Linked DNA regions of Oryctolagus cuniculus. The protein of the gene in region 1 interacts with the protein of each later gene in a biochemical or structural test. Links are inferred from orthologs where the notes say so. Each region holds a gene or a part of one and is shown in the gene's direction. Other genes may lie near its edges. The genes, in order: histone H2B type 1-B, USP51 and UBR7.

What was found.
Region 2: the proteins of histone H2B type 1-B (region 1) and USP51 form a complex in vitro, tested with the Homo sapiens proteins (2 studies listed by BioGRID, with this or other methods). The link is inferred for Oryctolagus cuniculus from reciprocal best matches to the Homo sapiens genes H2BC3 and USP51.
Region 3: of the proteins of histone H2B type 1-B (region 1) and UBR7, one has a biochemical effect on the other in vitro, tested with the Homo sapiens proteins (2 studies listed by BioGRID, with this or other methods). The link is inferred for Oryctolagus cuniculus from reciprocal best matches to the Homo sapiens genes H2BC3 and UBR7.

Annotation. Positions count from the first base shown.
Region 1 is NC_091436.1:153,352,340-153,355,212, reverse strand, and holds histone H2B type 1-B, read left to right. Parts: upstream 1-1,504; 5' UTR 1,505-1,832; coding exon 1,833-2,213; 3' UTR 2,214-2,269; downstream 2,270-2,873. Other genes in the region: histone H3.1, read right to left, coding at 72-482; histone H2A type 1-B, read right to left, coding at 1,112-1,504. UniProt on the Homo sapiens protein: Core component of nucleosome. Nucleosomes wrap and compact DNA into chromatin, limiting DNA accessibility to the cellular machineries which require DNA as a template.
Region 2 is NW_027208318.1:12,977-15,611, reverse strand, and holds part of USP51 (ubiquitin carboxyl-terminal hydrolase 51), read left to right. Parts: coding exon 1-509; 3' UTR 510-2,635.
Region 3 is NC_091451.1:38,186,908-38,190,663, forward strand, and holds the start of UBR7 (putative E3 ubiquitin-protein ligase UBR7), read left to right. Parts: upstream 1-1,073; 5' UTR 1,074-1,273; coding exon 1,274-1,423; intron 1,424-3,461; coding exon 3,462-3,595; intron 3,596-3,756. Other genes in the region: EKC/KEOPS complex subunit GON7, read right to left, coding at 813-1,020. UniProt on the Homo sapiens protein: E3 ubiquitin-protein ligase which is a component of the N-end rule pathway. Recognizes and binds to proteins bearing specific N-terminal residues that are destabilizing according to the N-end rule, leading to their ubiquitination and subsequent degradation.

The DNA of each region.
Region 1 (2,873 bases):
CAACTTCTTTCAAGTGAGTTTGTGGGTGGCTCTGAAAAGAGCCTTTTTGGAATCCGATAAGCTTACAGGATTCACGCCCGCTCCCCGCGGATGCGGCGCGCCAGCTGGATGTCTTTGGGCATGATGGTGACGCGCTTGGCGTGGATGGCGCAGAGGTTGGTGTCCTCGAAGAGGCCGACGAGGTAGGCCTCGCAGGCCTCCTGCAGCGCCATGACGGCCGAGCTCTGGAAGCGCAGGTCCGTCTTGAAGTCCTGCGCGATCTCGCGCACCAGGCGCTGGAAGGGCAGCTTGCGGATGAGCAGCTCGGTGGACTTCTGGTAGCGCCGGATCTCGCGCAGCGCCACCGTGCCGGGCCGGTAGCGGTGCGGCTTCTTGACGCCGCCCGTGGCCGGCGCGCTCTTGCGGGCCGCCTTGGTGGCCAGCTGCTTGCGCGGCGCCTTGCCGCCTGTTGACTTGCGCGCTGTCTGCTTAGTACGAGCCATCTCGCGCCGGTGGGACTCAAACTTCTTGTCTGCGGCGACAGAGCTGCCTTTAAATATCGTTAGGACTACTGTGATTGGCTTCCGGATTTTCAAAAAATCCGCGCGACAAACTCATTGGCTAAAGGAGGAACTTCGATGATTGGTCCACTCAGACAACCTGATTGGCCGGATTCATCCACTGTCCGTTTGGGATGGTAGACGTTTTCTAACATCTGGATCATTCCATCTCAGAAGCGTACCTAACCGTGGAGGGAGATTACCTCAGTAACAGGCCCTAGCGTGGACCCCGAAATCCCTAATTACCTGGGCCTGCCGTCTAATAGCGCCCGATAAACACTGAGCCACGGAAAGGTGCCCTGACTTAAGGCAAAACGCGTTTTACGTTTGAAACAGCTGCACCTCGGGGGCTATTTCCCGACTGACACACCCCCCGTCACTGTGTGGCCTTTCATCCGTCACAATAAATACACGTTTCACTTGTTTCCACAGTTTTCTTAAGCGCTAACGCTATCACCATGGGAAGGACTAATTCCAGTCAGGGTTAGCAGCTTTTTTGTGAAACAGTGGATGGCCCTGAAAAGAGCCTTTGGGTATTTCAAAGCGAGAGTTGCGTCGTCTTTACTGTGGTTTCACTTGCCCTTGGCCTTGTGGTGGCTCTCGGTCTTCTTGGGCAGCAGCACGGCCTGGATGTTGGGCAGCACGCCGCCCTGCGCGATGGTGACGCGGCCCAGCAGCTTGTTGAGCTCCTCGTCGTTGCGGATGGCCAGCTGCAGGTGGCGCGGGATGATGCGCGTCTTCTTGTTGTCGCGCGCCGCGTTGCCCGCCAGCTCCAGGATCTCGGCCGTCAGGTACTCGAGCACGGCCGCCAGGTACACTGGGGCGCCGGCGCCCACGCGTTCCGAGTAGTTGCCCTTGCGCAGCAGGCGGTGCACGCGACCCACGGGGAACTGGAGCCCGGCCCGGGAGGAGCGGGTCTTGGCCTTGGCGCGCGCCTTGCCGCCTTGCTTGCCACGCCCAGACATGGTACAGCCAAACACGCTTCGCAATCTGAAGTAAAGAAAACCATACCCGCCAAGACTGTGCTTTTATAAGCAGCGCAGGGCTACTACAGTACGTCATCCTATTGGTCGAAATAGGTTCGCCTTTTCTGCCCAATAGGAAAAGACAACCCGGATACCTTATTTGCATAAACAACCCCCCTAGAGAAAATTTCTTTGTTGTCCAATCAGAAGTGAGAAGTCTCAAACCCTCATTTGAATTACGGGACTATAAATATATGCACTCCGGCCTGTCATCACTAATCAGCTGTAGACTGAGTCTGTTTTAGTCTCTCAGCCAATATTAAAAGCAATGCCTGAACCCTCCAAATCCGCTCCCGCCCCCAAAAAGGGCTCCAAGAAGGCGATAACAAAGGCGCAGAAGAAGGATGGCAAGAAGCGCAAGCGCAGTCGCAAGGAGAGTTACTCCATCTACGTGTACAAGGTGCTCAAGCAGGTGCACCCCGACACCGGCATCTCGTCCAAGGCCATGGGCATCATGAACTCGTTCGTCAACGACATCTTCGAGCGCATCGCCGGCGAGGCCTCGCGCCTGGCGCACTACAACAAGCGCTCGACCATCACGTCGCGCGAGATCCAGACGGCCGTGCGCCTGCTGCTGCCTGGTGAGCTGGCCAAGCACGCCGTGTCCGAGGGCACCAAGGCTGTCACCAAGTACACCAGCTCCAAGTGAGCTCCCGAATTGGCGCCGCCGCCCCTCACCCCAAAGGCTCTTTTCAGAGCCACCAACTCTTTCACAAATAGAGCTGTGGCCGACGTCCTTGTATTTTGCTCCTGTTGAGGTGGGTTTAGGTCGGGTGTTAGGGCTGGCGTTAGTGACGACCCCAGAACGCGTGTTTATCCCGTGCAGGTCGGCGCTGAGTAACCTTAGGGCACTTTGGTCGGGGTCGGGGACTGGGGTTCGCGATGTGATGGGAGATGCGCATTTCGTGAACTCGGGTTCGCATGAGCTTTGAAGAGCCCCCTCTAACATCTCCAGCTCCTCGACAGTGAAATGGAGTGAAATTCCTGCAGTTCTCCCTGTTACCTACCTGTAGCCACTAATCACGTCGGCTAAGCAGTCCTTGAGTCTTCAGAAATCCATGGATCACCTATTGGATGGGGCGGATTTTTCTCAAGAATGGAGCCTTGATACTGGCTGGAGTCAGGATGCGATCTGAATCCCGCGCCTTTCCTGGTTCGCGGCCAGCCACTGGCTGAGGGGAGGGGCCAGGGCGCGTCGGGGCGGAGGTTGGCCAGTGCCGTGGCTTTAGAGCGACTCTGGAGTGGTTCCCAGAGGTTCGCGCGCCACTGTGACCGACACCGCCTGTCTGGGCGCGCAAAACGCTGGTGT
Region 2 (2,635 bases), on another chromosome or scaffold:
TACCAGGAATCCCCTCACTCACAGACTGCCTCCAGTGGTTTACAAGGCCAGAGGACCTGGGCAGCAGTGCCAAAATCAAATGCAGTAGTTGCCAAAGCTACCAGGAATCTACCAAACAGCTCACAATGAAGAAATTACCCATGGTGGCCTGTTTTCACCTCAAGCGGTTTGAACATGTAGGCAAACAGAGGCGTAAAATTAATACCTTTATCTCCTTTCCCTTGGAGCTGGACATGACTCCATTTTTGGCCTCTACTAAAGAGAGCAGAATGAAAGAGTGTCAGCCATCAACAGATTGTGTGTCCAATGAGAATAAGTATTCCTTGTTTGCAGTGATTAATCACCATGGAACTTTGGAAAGTGGCCACTATACCAGCTTTATCCGTCAACAAAAGGACCAGTGGTTCAGCTGTGATGATGCGATCATCACCAAGGCTACCATTGAGGACTTACTCTACAGTGAAGGATATTTACTGTTCTATCACAAACAGGGTCTGGAGAAAGACTAGTCTTACCAGACCTTTAACCAGAAAAAAAAAATGATTAAGCGAGGATTCTGACATGACACACAAACCTACCTGGAATAGACAATGACTATAATATCCTTATAACAATGAGCAGCTCTTAAAGTGACACAGAAACCTATCTAGACTGGACAATGACAATGACCTAAATGACAACCAGGACTTTGATGTAAAGAACCTATTTTATTATTACCTATGGGTTTGTGGGAGGAAAAAATGAATACTAGTGACCATTTGGGGTAAAAAATGCATACTAAGTAGTGACAATTGAGTCTTAAGAAAGAGGGTGTGAAGAGGTTGAAAATGGTCACATGAAGTATAATTGGATGAAAAAAATTGTCTAGGTGGGGAAGGATAGGAATAGACATGTTCTGACACTACTAAATGTCATTTGTTTCTGCAAAAATATTGTGGGAAGTCAGAGAGTAGTATTCCTTCATCAGCAAAAAGCTTCATAATTGGCATTCCAACTGTGGTTGACCAGCCAAATAGTTTGCAAAACAGAGAATATTTTAAAAGTGAATTTAAAAACCTTTAAAAGCAAAACATTTAAGAAGAAGAAAACAATTTTTTAAAGTTTTAAAAGAAACATTTTTACATGTTGAAAAACTTTTATGTTAAATATTTTTAAAAGAAATTTAAAAACATATTTTTTTAATTTAAGAGAGCTTCAGAATTATTAAAGTAATGTCTAAAAGCAGGGGATTTAGAAATTCTTAAGGTTTTAAGGTAAAATGAGTAAAACAAAGAATAAGGTTAAAAATGAAAATTTACAAAAACATTAAGAGAAAGGAACACTTTAAGAAAGAGAGAAATCTTACATTTTAATTTTAAAATGAAGGAAAATATAAATGGGTATTTTAAAATGAAAGCATAAAGTATCCATATAGAAAGATCAAAGATTAACAGATCTACCACATGATAAAAGTAAACTTTCAAAATATAGAATGCAGTAAAATTCAGATTCTACAGTGATGTTTTAAAAAAGAAGTTTAGAACAACTCAAGATAATTTGTTATAAATTTAAAATTTTAAAGAAAAAATAGAGTTGTAAAAATAGAAAAAGAAACTTAAGTTCAATTTGAGACAATTACATGAAAACTGCTTGAATAAGAATAAAAATAAAATTAAAACTTTTAAAAGAAAAACATTTACATAGAAATTGACAAATGATAGAACAAAAATATTCAAATATAAAAAGTATTAAACAGTTTAAAAGGTTTTATTTTTTATGTAAGCATATTAAAATACAGACGGGTATAAAAAGTAAATAGAAGAGGCAGGAATAGCAAAAGGATTGTCAATATATTTATATTTTTGAGTTTTATGTTGATATTTAAATACAACTTGGAAAGACACTTTAAACCTTATTTACCATTGAATTGTGAGATGGATGCAAGGTCTGAACACTAGCCCACCTTTCTTTTCTCAGATTCCTCACCCCATCTGATTTCCTAAAAAGTAGAGCTACTTGGGTAGAATCAACTGCATCTAAGAAGGATGGAAACATTAGAGCCTCTCCTATTTAGAACTACATTATTCATACAAATTCTTAGCTTCTGTAGAGGGGCTTTTGGTAATTTGGAGGCTTATACAAATTAGAGCACAACTACAAAGTGCTGACTTTCGTGTTTGAGTCTACTGGCCTGATTGAGGAAGTGGCAAGGGCCTGTATCTGAGGACCTACTACTCTTCCCCATTCCACAGGGAGATAAGACTTAATTTCAACAGTATAGCTGTGGGTTTGTATTTGGCAATCCTTTCACTCATTCCTTATTCCATTCACTCATGCCGGGTTCCCTGAGCTCCTCAACTACCTGGCCTTACCTATGTCCCTGAGCTCCAGCCTTCAGGGCCCCTTTCTTAATTTTCACCTGGTAGCTTCTACTTCTCCTTCAAGACCCAACTAACAGATGACTTTCCTGGGGCCTTCCTTGGATGCTTGAGGCAGGTACAAGTTGGAAAATTGTTACTCTCCCCCCACTTTATCCCTTTCACTGTGCCTCCAAAGTACTTTGTCCATACCTTGGTGATAGTACTTTATTATACTGTGATTCTGCTGTAGCTTTGTGATTGTGTGCCCCTCTGTACCAGATAACCTGAGAACATGG
Region 3 (3,756 bases), on another chromosome or scaffold:
CTCGTGCAACCATCACCACCATCTAATTCCCGAGTACTTTCTTCACCCCAAAAAGGGACCCCCGACCCGCGAGCGCTCCTCTCCGCGGCCCCTCAGCCCCTGCAGCTGCCGATCCACCTCCCGTCTCTGTGGATTTGCCTATGGCGCACATTTCAGAGAAATACAGGCACACAGCATGAGCCTTTGGTGCCGGCGTATTTCACCCTGCATGGTGTCCAGGTTTGGCCACGTTGTGGCGTGTATCAACGCTTCGTTCCTTTTGACTGCTGAATACTACTCCTCTGTGTGCAGCCACCCCTGCCTACTCGTGGCTCTGATCAGCTGCTGGCCATCTTTTGCTTCCACGCCTCAGCTGTGCGCAAGGCCGCTGGGGACGTCTCCAGGTTCGGCGCGAGCCTCTCGGAGGGCTGGCAGCCACACCGCGCCGTCTCCCACGAGCTTTCTGAGGAAGCACACGGTTTTCCCAGCGGGTACGCCATTTTACACCCCGCCTACACTGACCAAGACCTCCACTTTCTTCACGTCCGTAACGCCTGCGCTCGATTTCTGATCAGAGCCAACAGCTACGTTATTTTTATTAGTGTTACATTTATTATCACCACCGGAAACCAAGTAGTTGAAGCTCCTCTACAGAAAAATAAATCCTGACCCCAACGTGGTGGGGGGGGGGGTCGCGGAAACGCTCAGGCGGCCGGCAGCCCAGCTAACGGGGCGGCGAGCGCCAACAACTTCTAGACACCCCTTTCCTCCTCCCAAGGCCCCCGTCCCTCCACGCCGGCCCTCGGGCGCGCCAGCACCTTCTCAGAGCTCACCATCCGAGGCCTCGTCTCCGGCCGCCGCCACCCGGTCCCGCGTCTCCCGCTGCACCAGCGGGCCCAAGAGCTCGGACACCAGCTCCCTCATCTGGGCCGCGCCCGCCAGCAGGCCCTCGAGGGGGTCGGCGTCACCCGGCAACTCACACGGCGCCCGCAGCCTCTGCGGCTGCCCGTCCGGCCCCACGTACTCTCCCACCAACTCCATGGCGACCGCGGAGCTTCAAGAGCGCGCCACAAAGCAGCGTGACCCGGAAGCGGAAGCCAGCCCTCGGCCAGCGCGGGCGGGAGAAGGCAGACGAGCCACTTCCGTTGGTGGGAAGTCGCTCCTCCTCCTTCCTTCGTTTCCGCCTTAGGGATTGGCTCTTGGCGCTCAGACCCCGCCTCCTCCGGCTACGCCCCTCGCGGCCGCTTTTCCCGCCTCCGCCGGGACCGAGCTGCGGTCCAGGTGACAGTTGAGGATGGCCGGAGCTGAGGAGTCAGCCGGGCGGCAGTCGGAGCTGGAGCCCGTGGTGTCGTTGGTCGACGTACTCGAGGAGGACGAGGAGTTGGAGAACGAGGCGTGCGCCGTCCTGGGCGGCAGCGACTCGGAGAAGTGCTCCTACTCGCAGGTGGGCGCGCGACCCGGGCCTCTGCCCTGGGGCTCCGGCGGAACCCCCTGTTCCCGGCCCGACTCTCCCGCGTCCTGCCCGCTCTGCCGCCTCCCCCGGGGCGGCCGCCCCGCTGCCAGGCCCAGCTGCCCGTCCCTCCGCAGCCCGCGTCCCGCGGGGGCCTCCCTCTCCCCGGGGCCACGTCGGGCTCCTCAGGATTCGCGGGCTGCGGCCCCTGCCCTCGCAGCCTCGGCTGGTTTCCGCGACCTCTCGGACCCCTCCCGGGAGTGCGGAGCGGGGCCGTCACCGGAGGCCGCCCTGGCTCTGGGGTGGGCTCCTCGCCGCGGCTGTCGGCGTTGGGCCCCACGCCGGGAAAAGGCCGGAACCGGGACAGCGGGTGGTCCCGGCCGGGGAAGAGGGTCTGCCTGGCCTGGACCAGGACCGCAGGGGGCGTGATGTCGTGCGTGCTGGCCTCGTTATGGACGTCTAGGCGCGGGCCGGGAGGGAACGGACAAGGTGGGAGGAGGGTGACCCAGGCAGGGGCTGGCGTGAGCGCCGGGCAGTCGTTCCGTGGTAGGGACTGAGCTCATAAACCCCTTGTCCTGGCTGACCGGACCGAGCTGACCGTGGTCAACCCGGCACCCAGAGATGGCCCCAGACGCTGGCTCGCATTTAAACCTTTGCTCATCGCTAGAAGTACTTAGGAAAAAAAAAATCCTAAGTCTTTACAAAAGTCAGCTGTTTGTGAAATACAGTTAGCTTCCTAAAACAGAAATTCATCCGTTCCTTTTCTTATAGTAAAACATAGGGGAATTTGCACGAATCCTGTGTGCAGGCCTGTCCCCACACCCAGCTCCACAGAGGACGATTCTGACGTTGAGGGGCCGCCCTCCCGCCTCTGAGAGGGGGGTCATCGCACGGAGACGCCACGAGATTCGTCGTTTTTCCTCCAGCTTTTTACTTTGAAACTATTTTTTTTTTTGTAAATAAAAGATTTGAAAGACCGGAGAGAGATCTTTCATCTGTTCGTTCACTCCCTAAGTGACTGCAACTCTACTAGGCCGCCCTGAAGCCAAGAGGCCACAGCTTTATTTGTGGCTTCCATGTGGATGGCCGGGATGCAGGCACGTGGGCCATCCTCCACTGCTTTGCCAGGCACGTTGGCAGGGAGCTGGAGCAGAGCAGAGCACCCAGGACTCACTCTGCCAGGAGATGCAGGTGTCTTTGAAGTGGTGGCTTAACATTTTGCCACACTTGTTTTATTTCTCTCCTTTTTTTAAGTTTTTTTTTTTCTTTTTTTATTTGAAAGAGTTAACGGAGAGGATGAGAGAGAGAGAGACCTTCCATCCACTGGTTCACTCCATGAGTGTCAGCAACTGCTTGGGCTGGGCCATAACTAAACCGGGAGCCCAGGGTTTCTTCCGGGTCTCCCATGTGAGTGGGAACCCTGGGGCCATCTTTCACTGTTTTCCTAGTGCATTAGCAAGGAGCTGGATCAGAAGTGCAGCCGCTGGGTCTCAGATCAGATATGGGAGCAGGCAGGGGCTTACCCACAATGCTGGCCCATCTCTTTTGTGTGTTATACTCTTTGCTTTCTTTTTGGACCATTTGAAAATAGATTGCAGACATCATGACCCTACATCTCTAACTATTTCAACCTGCATTTCCTAATAACCAAAGAGTCTTGGCATGCATTGATTTTTCTCCTTGGTGTAATTACAATCATTTTCCAAAATTGAAAGTATGATCTTACTTACTGTCTCTGACATTTTCATATGTTAAATGATTAAGCAGAACAAACTATTCACAGGTGATTGACACATTTATACTTCCTCTGACTTTAAGAAAAAATTGGATGAACACAAGCACTAATATAGATATGAAACACACAACGGTGTTTTGGAACTCCGTTGTATAAACTTTCTCAGCTGTCACTGTGGTTTTTAAAGGAATATCTTACCCACAGGAATTTTCATTCTGTTTCAGAACCTAGTATAGGTATTAAGTAACTATGCTCTGTCATTAATTCATTTTTTCCTTTTTATTTTGGTGCTGTCAGGGCTCAGTAAAGAGACAAGCACTATATGCTTGTAGTACCTGCACCCCAGAGGGAGAAGAACCAGCAGGAATTTGCCTAGCTTGCAGTTATGAATGTCACGGAAGTCATAAACTATTTGAGTTGTACACAAAAAGGTAAATAGAGATTGTTCCCGAATGCTTTCTAAATGTTTAGATTCTTTTCCAAGTGTACTTTTTTCTTAATCTTGTGTTTTCATCCAAAAGTGTTGTGCATTAGTGAAATTTAATATAATTGTTCATGTAATAAAACATAAACATAATTTTTCCATAGGCTC